Linked DNA regions of Schizosaccharomyces pombe. The gene in region 1 interacts genetically with each later gene. Each region holds a gene or a part of one and is shown on either strand. Other genes may lie near its edges.

Region 1 (4,265 bases):
CCAAAGAACTAACTTCCATTGCGCTAGTTCCAAAAGGGACGATATAGTCATTGGTAGTATTTGCAAATAATATTCTTTTTTCAAAAAACGAAACAGCTTGAAAGAAAGGCGTGGAAGGATCAGACATCAAAACAAGGAAAGGTCTTGATTCAATGGAGTGATTCAGTGGAGTTAAAGATAAGTCTTGTCCTGTCTTACCAATGATACCATAGGACAAAGCCTTACCAATATAAGAAGGATGTTCACCAGCAACACCGAGCCAAGGAGTTGCCAAAGTTACAAAAAACACAGGGTGAATAGCCTGAAAAAAGGCACCGTGCGTTTTTGCATGTACATAACCAACAGCATATGTTTGAACCAATCCACCAAGTGAGTGGGCGACAACTGATATATGGGAATATCGAGGAAAAGATGCACTTCCCCAGCCCGTAATATCCAACAGCCATTCACCAAGTCGTTTACCCAGCCAGCGAACCCCTTTCTCAGTCTGACAGTAGTTACCGGTAAATCCTCGAACAACTACTAGTTCCTTAACAGATTTTGATGATTCTATTAGTTTTTCTTTTAAATACTCCATATCAGCACCAACATTAGAATGCATTCCATGAGTTAGCACCACCAAATGTGAATTCTTTGAATGAAATGAAGAATACGGAAGACGCCATAAATTTTCCGGAGTTTGATGTTCAACGTGTAGAGCAGGGAATGCATGAAGAGTATCGATATCAGCAGCTGACATGGCTCGAATGGAATGTTGAGATTGCGATATAGCAAGCTCAAAGTTAATAGATCTATCTTTAAAAATCGCCTGACTTGCAATTTCAATGTAAATAGGCTGCTGATTGGAAAAACATGAATAAGGTACACAGACCCAAAAACTAGTAGAGGGCTGTACCTGAGGATCAAAGTTTAATAAAGAATTTTTTTCATCAAAAAATTGGTCATTCCAAACGCTAACGCATAATGTAAATGGACCTTGAAGATAGGCTGCCTGGCGGAAACGTGCTTCTCTATTCCTGACACGAATCCAAAGTACCGAGTTAGTCGAATTTATGAAGGGAGCTGTAGAGTCGCTTCCTGCCAAGGGATTTTTTACTTCACGAAGATTAATAGAAGAGAATGAAGTACCTACAGAAGGAGAAGAAGAGGTATGAGAGACACCTCTTGTTTGTTCAGGTATGTTGATTGCATTGGTATTATCTGTAAACGCACCAACTTTATGATAATCTTTTGAAGAAGATGAAAAATCGCTGGAAAGAAGAGGTGAGGATTCTGAATTTGCATGCTTCGGATTCGTGCTACTATTATTCTCTGAGATTTGCTTGCTGATATTCTCCCCACTAGAGATTGTCATCCCACCTGAACCTGCTCTATCCTCGATGCTACCACTCTCTTTCTTAGTCACTGAATTGAGGTTCACAGTGGGGGGCACAGTTGTAGAAGACGTTGCCGAATGCAAATTGCCCCCACTCTGCACAAAAATTCGAAATCGATGTATTTGACCTAAACCAACTGTACCATGCCAATGTTAGAACAAGTATTAAATATTTATATGCCATCCCAAAATTTTTGCATCGAAACAAGCATAACAAATCGAAACTTTAAATAACGAGCTGATAATATCAACTTGCAAATACAATTTAAAGGAGTGGTAAATTTTGTTTAAAGTAACTTACCGTCATCTCGTTGTACATATACATTCATAATGTCAGAAGTCAAGCGATGACAACTCAAAAACTAGTAAATCTGAAAATTAGCTATTCGTGAAAGGTGAGAGATATCAATTATTTTTCAATACCGGTCAACGAATAGGGATAAAATTTTATCTGTTTCAATTAGTAAATCGCTAGTTGCTCATATCACGTAAAAAGTAACGCGAATTTATCAGTGTCCTACCGGTAAAATTTGTTCGCTCGATTCCTTTGTTAGACTAGCTGTTCGACGAACCTATATAAACTCAGTTTTTCTAATTTTTGAGCAAAAGCAAAAATCGAACGACTTCACGGGAAATAAAGCAAGATGGTAAGAGATGCATAAAAAGCTTTCTTTAATGAAGAAGACACCAAAATTGAGTCCTTTGCTAACAATTAAAGTCGTATAATGGAATTGGATTACCCACTCCAAGAGGATCAGGAACAAATGGATACGTAATGCGGAATCTGTCTCACGTAAAAAAATATGACAAAAATACAAATCTACAGTCAAATCGAAATGCAAAAGCTCTGGAAAAACGGGTTCAAGATCCTTCAATAAGCGAGCATGAATGCCGTCGACAAATTGAGTCGAAGTTGTTGTTGTACAGAGAGCAGTTGTTGGAGGAGGTCAGTTCCCAACACAGCACTGATGCAGCGGCATCTGATTCCAATACAAATTTTGGGACTGAAAACCCGAAGCCACCTAAAGCAATTATAAAAGATGAGCAATCACAATCGAAAACTAAATCTTTAGATGAAGCTGATGTAGAAATTTTAGTACAAAAATATCGAGAACAGTTACTTAAAGAATTGCAATTACAAAAATCTACTGAAAAAGGAAAAAATTTTGAATCCATTCTTCAACCTCAGAAAAGAAAAGAAACAAGAGGATTTCACTCGAAAAATGACGATGATGGGCGATTAGAAGAAAGAGACGATTTGAGATCATCAGTTGACGATGATTATTATGATTACCCGCGTTATTCCGAGAGGAAATCATTAAATTCAAAAAGGCATGTGGACAATTACAATGAAAATAGAAGAAGACATTACGATTCGTATTCCTCCTACGATGAATTAGAAAGACGACGGAGTAGTAATGAAAGTTACTCAAGGCGTTCTGAATTACCCAGAAGAGATTATAATAGACACGATGAACGGGAAAGGTATTCTTATCATAGAAGGAGAGAAAGAAGCAATTCACCCTCCTATACGAAGAATGAGTCAATTCCTGTTGTGGACAGGGATTCCTCTCCTGAGGGTGGCGAAATTGTATGAGGCCCAAAGAGTTAGGCCAGTTAAAACAATAATATAATAGGCAATTCATGCAAGCATGTATTGTTTATTAATATTGGATAATTATTCGGGTCATCAACAATCGTTGGATTAATATGAATATTTGGTTAGCAATACACGTTAGTCAAATCCCATGAAGCACACGACTGTTCAATGATATAAAAAATATTATTCTTCAAAGAAAAAATACTATCGACTTTATATTAAGGCTGTTAAGTTGCACGATTTAAACATCATTTGATATTTTTCTTTTTCACGGAGGGATAATGAAGCAATTTTAAATTTACAATTACGCTTTTACATTTGTATTTTAAATTCATTAATTAAGCATAAAAGAATCTTTTTAATAAAGATTTTCGAGATTATTCACGCGATTTTAGTCAAAGTAGCTCTTGGCGGCTTTGTTTTCCTGCATACTGTAAATCTCAGAGCTTTTATACCAATAATGTTTATTATATATATTTTACAAAATGAACTTGCTTTAAAGCAATATTAATTATATAATAAAACCAATTTATAAAAAAAATTATAATATAAGTTTAATTATAAATAATACAATTTTTATTTTCTGATGATCTTCGGATCACTTTGGTCAAATTGAAACGATACAGAGAAGATTGTAAGTAACAATATTTACCAAGGTTCGAGTCATACTAACTCGTTGTTTAGAGCATGGCCCCTGCACAAGGATGACACTGCGACATTGAGAGAAAACCCATTTTTTTTTCTAAACAAAATTAATCATACATTCAAATCTTGATTTCCAATCGCTTTAACTTTTTTAAAATAAATATCTATTGTTTCATATAACTTTCAATTTCCTAGATACTACAGTACATTAAACACGTATTACAACTTCTTGCTAAGTCGCAAAGCATTAATTAATTAGTTTTCTGTAGATAATTGAAAAGAAAAAAAACATTTTTTCATCGAAATTTTTTATTGGACAGGTAAATATATTTAACGCGATTACTCTATCGAAATCTGAATTAAAAACTAGTTAAAAATTTTCGACTAGCTTGTTTGTTACTATCGCCAATATACCAAGCTTTGTTCACAAAGCAATTGACTAGATGTAGGTTCATATAGCATATTATACGAATTGGCAGCATCAATGGGTAGGAACAGTGAGCTCGTATTTCACTTTAACGTCTCAAACGGAGCAAAGTTAGCCTCTTCTAAACATTATCAGCATTGGTCATTCCTGACTCCCTTCTATGTTCATATATTGTTTCTTGAATTACAAAAAATAATTCTTCGTTTTCATGTTACAGT
Region 2 (4,757 bases), on another chromosome or scaffold:
CAGTCAAGTGTTGCCTGCTATTTTAATCGGTCCTGCAGACGTCGCTCTGGCTCAATGGAAATACATATATAGTATGGGCAAAAAGAGCTTCCCATTTTTAGCCATTGCCAATGCTCTGGTTCAGGGCTATTTGTCTTATTCGGAACGGAAGAGAAGTATATTCTCTTCAAAATTGTATGCTATATCGGCTTTATCTGGACTATGTATTATTCCTTTCACGCTTTTGTTTATGAAAAAGGACATTAACTCTTTACAAACGTTAAATCCAGATCTAATACTTAAAGATGTAAAGGCTACTCAAAATTTCCGCAGTATAATTCACAGATGGGGTTTTAAAAACTTATTTCGAAGCGCATTTATGTTTTTCTCTGGTTTAGCTTCAATCGCTGGATCAATTTACTTTTGATAACAAAACATAATTGTAATGTATCGTTTACGTGTTAACTCTTGCGTTCCGATATTCGTTGATGATCAAATAATATTAAGTTCTAATTTTTCTACTGCTGATTATTAAAACACTATATCACGTAGTTAAGTTCGTGAAATTTAAACTATTAAAAAATGCTAAAATTAAGAGAGCACATTTTTATTTTTAAAACGATTCGCTTATAAATTGTTCATACTGCTCAAACATTGTTGTTTGGATTCTATAGTTTGTCAGCTTCAAACAAGTCGACTGAATCAAATTTTTACAAAACGCTTTTCAAAAACGAAACGACTGTTGAAAAACACGGGTTGTTCAATGTTCAGTCATGCAACCAGCGATGCTTTGGGTCTATCAAGGTGTATAAAAGAATAAACATTAGCGGATTGGTTAAGTCTTCAACCTTTTGGTAATTATATGTAACCCATTAACATTTATTCGTAATACCTTTACGAAATCTCGGTATAGGATATCGTTTCAATGCTTGTTCTTCTTGCGTAATACATGAGCAGATAAGTATAGTTTTTAAAGCACTCTACAAGAACTTAACAAAACTCCTAAGTTAAATATCAAATAACAACGACTAATCCTTTTGGTTTATATAAGAGAACACCTTTTTTCGGGTCGTTAAATACATGTCCATAAATTTTGAGTTCATCATGATTGAAACGAAGACGAAGCTCAATCTAGAGAAACGAGGATACTTCATCTGTACTCATTATAAGAAATGCAGTTCATTGGTCGTTTGCAGGCTGGGCTCTAGGTTGAGAGCCATTGGAATTCCTGTATTGGTTATATTGATTTCTTGCATATCCACGTCCACGACCTCTACCACCACGTCCACGACCACGTCCACGACGGCCGCGATTTCCAGAGCCAGCAACGCCAAATGTCTCCATGTTCAAAGAACGTTCGCGATCTCGTAGAGCTCTTCTATCTGCAGCTTCCATACCCTTCTCTTTACTTTCACAACTAATATTATCAAAAAAAGATTGCTTAGGCTTGTAAAATTCTTCGGCTTCTTCATCATTTTTTCCTTTTAACAAATCATCTTTCATCGATTGAAACTTTTGATTTGCAGTTTGAAAGTCAAATTCGGTACGAGGCTTTGCAGCACTAGCATCAGGTTGAGTTGTAGGAACTTCTTTAGAAGGTCCAGATGTTTCAACGGTTTGGGATTGAGAGACATCCACAGTAGTATTCACAACACGGTCATTTGTGACAGTGGAATTCCGTATACTAGTACTTTCTTTTTCAATAGATGCTTCAATGGAGGGCTGTGCACCTGGTATCACTCCATTCGTGGGCGGCATGGATTGAAGAGACGGAGATGCAGATACCGCGGTAGGACCAGGAGCAGGCATGCCCGGAGCAAAGTTGGGAGGCTTCTGGTTTGAAGGCATTCCGTATCCAGGACGTACGTTGTACGGGGCCTGACCGGCAAACCCTTGAGAAACATTTTGAGCAAACTCAGGACGTTGACCCATTTGCTGTTGATCAGGTGCCCCATAATACGGGACCGCAGGTGTGGATGCGTCTAAGGGAGTACCCAAAGGCAAACCTCCAGGAGGTACAAATTGAGCGGGAGCATTCGGGTACATATAGTAAGGTGCACCTGCTGGAGGAGCCTGTTGGTATGGAGCTCCATAAGGGTTAGGTTGAACAGGCTGAGGAGGTTGGGCAGTCTGCGCTTGGTTCCAATTATACTGCCCGCTATTAGACTAATTATAGTTAAAATCATGATCTTGTCAGATATATAAAGAGTGCCAAAGATAATTAATACTAGATATACTAATGAGAATCTCCACCACTCTTTAGACGTAACATACCCCAATAATTGCAGGATCATTAGGAGGTTGAACCGGGGGAGCAGAAGGAGTAGTAGCAGGTTCCTCAATCCGTAAATCTTTAACATCGCTTCCACGAAAAACAATGTAATCAAATACATTATCTGATGGGGGGATTTCTTGAGAGGGATCTTGTTTTCTTCCTTCAGTACCACACCAACGGACTAAACTGTTAGTAATCAATGCTGGGTACTCAACCTACCATGCTTCAAAGCCAGTGTTGAGTCCTGGGAATTGATGTCCTGCAAAATGCCCACATAACTAAATATTAGTAAAGGAAAGATAATGCTCTCACGTACCGAATGTCAGATTTGCTAATTAGACTAATACGAGAACCAATAAATTCAGTCATTGGTTATAAACTCGACGAAGTAAAGCTTAGTGGTGAAAGGAGCGTGGTTAGGTGTCCTTTCGAAATTAACGAACTTGGCGATAGCGCTAGTATGGGGTTCATTATACCGAGTAAATAAGACCAAAATGCGACATTGTCATTTATAAGCTGTTTTTTCATCAGTTTTTATATTTATTTAAAATTAACATGCTTAAGATCAAAAAGGCTATCCACAGCTGCTCTGACCATGTACTACTTATTTTACTTAAATACGTATATGTGCAGCAGTCAAATTGTAACTAATTTTATACTTATTACAAGTAATCTATTTTTAAAAAGAATGAAAATGCCAAGCAAAAGACACTGTACTTTAACGCTCTTCAAAATTGAGTTAACCTGAAACCGCACCGTCAATTACATTATCCAACTAACATATTCATTTTCTGATACGTATGAAAATTTTAAGTTAAAGAATGAAACAAAAAACTTTTTAATATAACAAAAACCTTTTCCCAATTCAACGTAACTGAGTTTATGTCCAAAATTGTAACTCCCCTTGTTGATCTAATAGAGTAGCCTTGAAAAAAATATTCCAAAAGTAATATTTCATATCTAATTTTCCAATTTTGCTTTTTTGACAGAAGAAGTTTCTTTCTGGCCCTTACGTTTTGGAAACCTTCCGGCAGCTAGATTGCTGTCAGAAGTTAACACCTTGATCCCAGATAAAACGAAACCCATATCACCCCTAACAGTCATGAATGGATGAGTCCTTTCTGGCAAGACTTGGTAAGGTCGTGTACGAATCTCATGAATATCCAGCATGATGACTTTCTCTTTCTGTGTATCAATAGCAACGTCTCCTTGATCAACCTTTTCGTCATTTTCAGTACTTTGAGCTGTCTTTTCTACAAATAAGTTATCCCATTTAGATAATTGATGATACGTCTCGACTAAGACTTGCTGATATGTTGAGTATACCATGAAAGGACGTGATATACCGAGCTTTGGAAGAAGATGTTGAAGAACAGACATTGGGGTGTGAATAGATAGTATAAAGAGAGCATCATAGTTACCACTTTCAAAATCATCAATAGTATTCTTCAAACGGTTAAATGTAGCTTTCTTCGTTTCATAGCGCTTACGGTGGCGAAGTTTCATCTCATTCAACTCTGATTCAGGAATATCTTCAACCGAATACTCACTTAAAGTCTCGGTTGGATTCGTAACTTGATACCAATTCAAAGTTTTCAAAATCCCTTTTTGAACCAAACTATCCTCTTTAAAGTCTTGCCCCCAATACTCTAAACAAGAGCTATTAGGTTGCTCATTTGGATGGACCAGGGTTATTTTGCAATCACCAGCAACACGGTCAATAAGAGAACCAAGGAACATGCATCCAGTCTCATCAACTACCAAATATCTACCCCCAGGTTTAACATTTCCAAGAGTAAGCATCAAGCTTATACACTCGGCAGTAAGATCAAGTATCTTATACGGATCATGTTCAATCATGTAATTAGCCACAACTTCAACACAAGGTCGTAAAACCTGAAAGCGTTGAAGATACTTTTCCCCTTTTCTCGTAACATATTTCTCCTGAGCAAATAAAGTTTTTTGCTCAAAAGTTTTACTACTATTAGTCAACTGTTTGATGGCCTCTTCAGCACGAAGTCCACCAGCTTTAATGTTTGCGCGCAGTTCATCAATCTCCTCTTGAGTCATAAGCTGATTGCCTCGACAATCATTAAGTTCTTGATTCGTTTTCTTTTCTTCCTCGATATACTGTACCTCCCTTGTTTTTAAAACTCGAATTTTTTTGGGTTGATAAATTTCAAAAGTTTCGTCAAAATGCTTTCCAAACAAATCATCAGCGAGAAATGAACCAAATTTTCCGAGGTGAATTGTACTATTTAATATAAAGTCAGTAAGATCAATATGAACGAGATAAACTAGATCACCTCTATCTCCTTATGCAAAAAACAATTTCAATTGCTATCATTGAAAATGTACTTTAAATTGTAAATTAAGATCCTCATACTTACTTGTTTGGTTTCAATGTTACAAAACGAACATTGTCTGAAGGAAGCTTGATGAAAACGCTGCTGTTTTCGGAAATAGTTGATGCATGCCTCAGCATATTGTTCTTGGCAGTCCT

Evidence for each region.
Region 2: mutations in cwf21 (region 1) and sum2 together harm fitness more than expected from each alone (negative genetic interaction), as found in Schizosaccharomyces pombe (2 studies listed by BioGRID).

What each region holds. Positions count from the first base shown.
Region 1 is NC_003424.3:2,561,718-2,565,982, reverse strand, and holds cwf21 (protein Cwf21), read left to right. Parts: upstream 1-1,732; 5' UTR 1,733-2,019; coding exon 2,020-2,022; exon of another isoform or gene 2,023-2,093; coding exon 2,094-2,972; 3' UTR 2,973-3,506; downstream 3,507-4,265. Other genes in the region: rog1 (lipase), read right to left, coding at 1-1,512, 1,677-1,704. UniProt on the Schizosaccharomyces pombe protein: Involved in pre-mRNA splicing. May function at or prior to the first catalytic step of splicing at the catalytic center of the spliceosome. May do so by stabilizing the catalytic center or the position of the RNA substrate.
Region 2 is NC_003423.3:265,356-270,112, reverse strand, and holds sum2 (translation initiation inhibitor), read right to left. Parts: upstream 2,658-4,757; 5' UTR 2,624-2,657; coding exon 2,571-2,623; exon of another isoform or gene 2,533-2,570; coding exon 2,474-2,532; exon of another isoform or gene 2,436-2,473; coding exon 2,254-2,435; exon of another isoform or gene 2,146-2,253; coding exon 1,159-2,145; 3' UTR 705-1,158; downstream 1-704. Other genes in the region: SPOM_SPBC800.14C (uncharacterized protein), read left to right, coding at 1-406; trm6 (translation initiation factor eIF-3 gamma subunit Gcd10), read right to left, coding at 3,215-4,508, 4,645-4,739. UniProt on the Schizosaccharomyces pombe protein: Required for G2/M phase checkpoint control.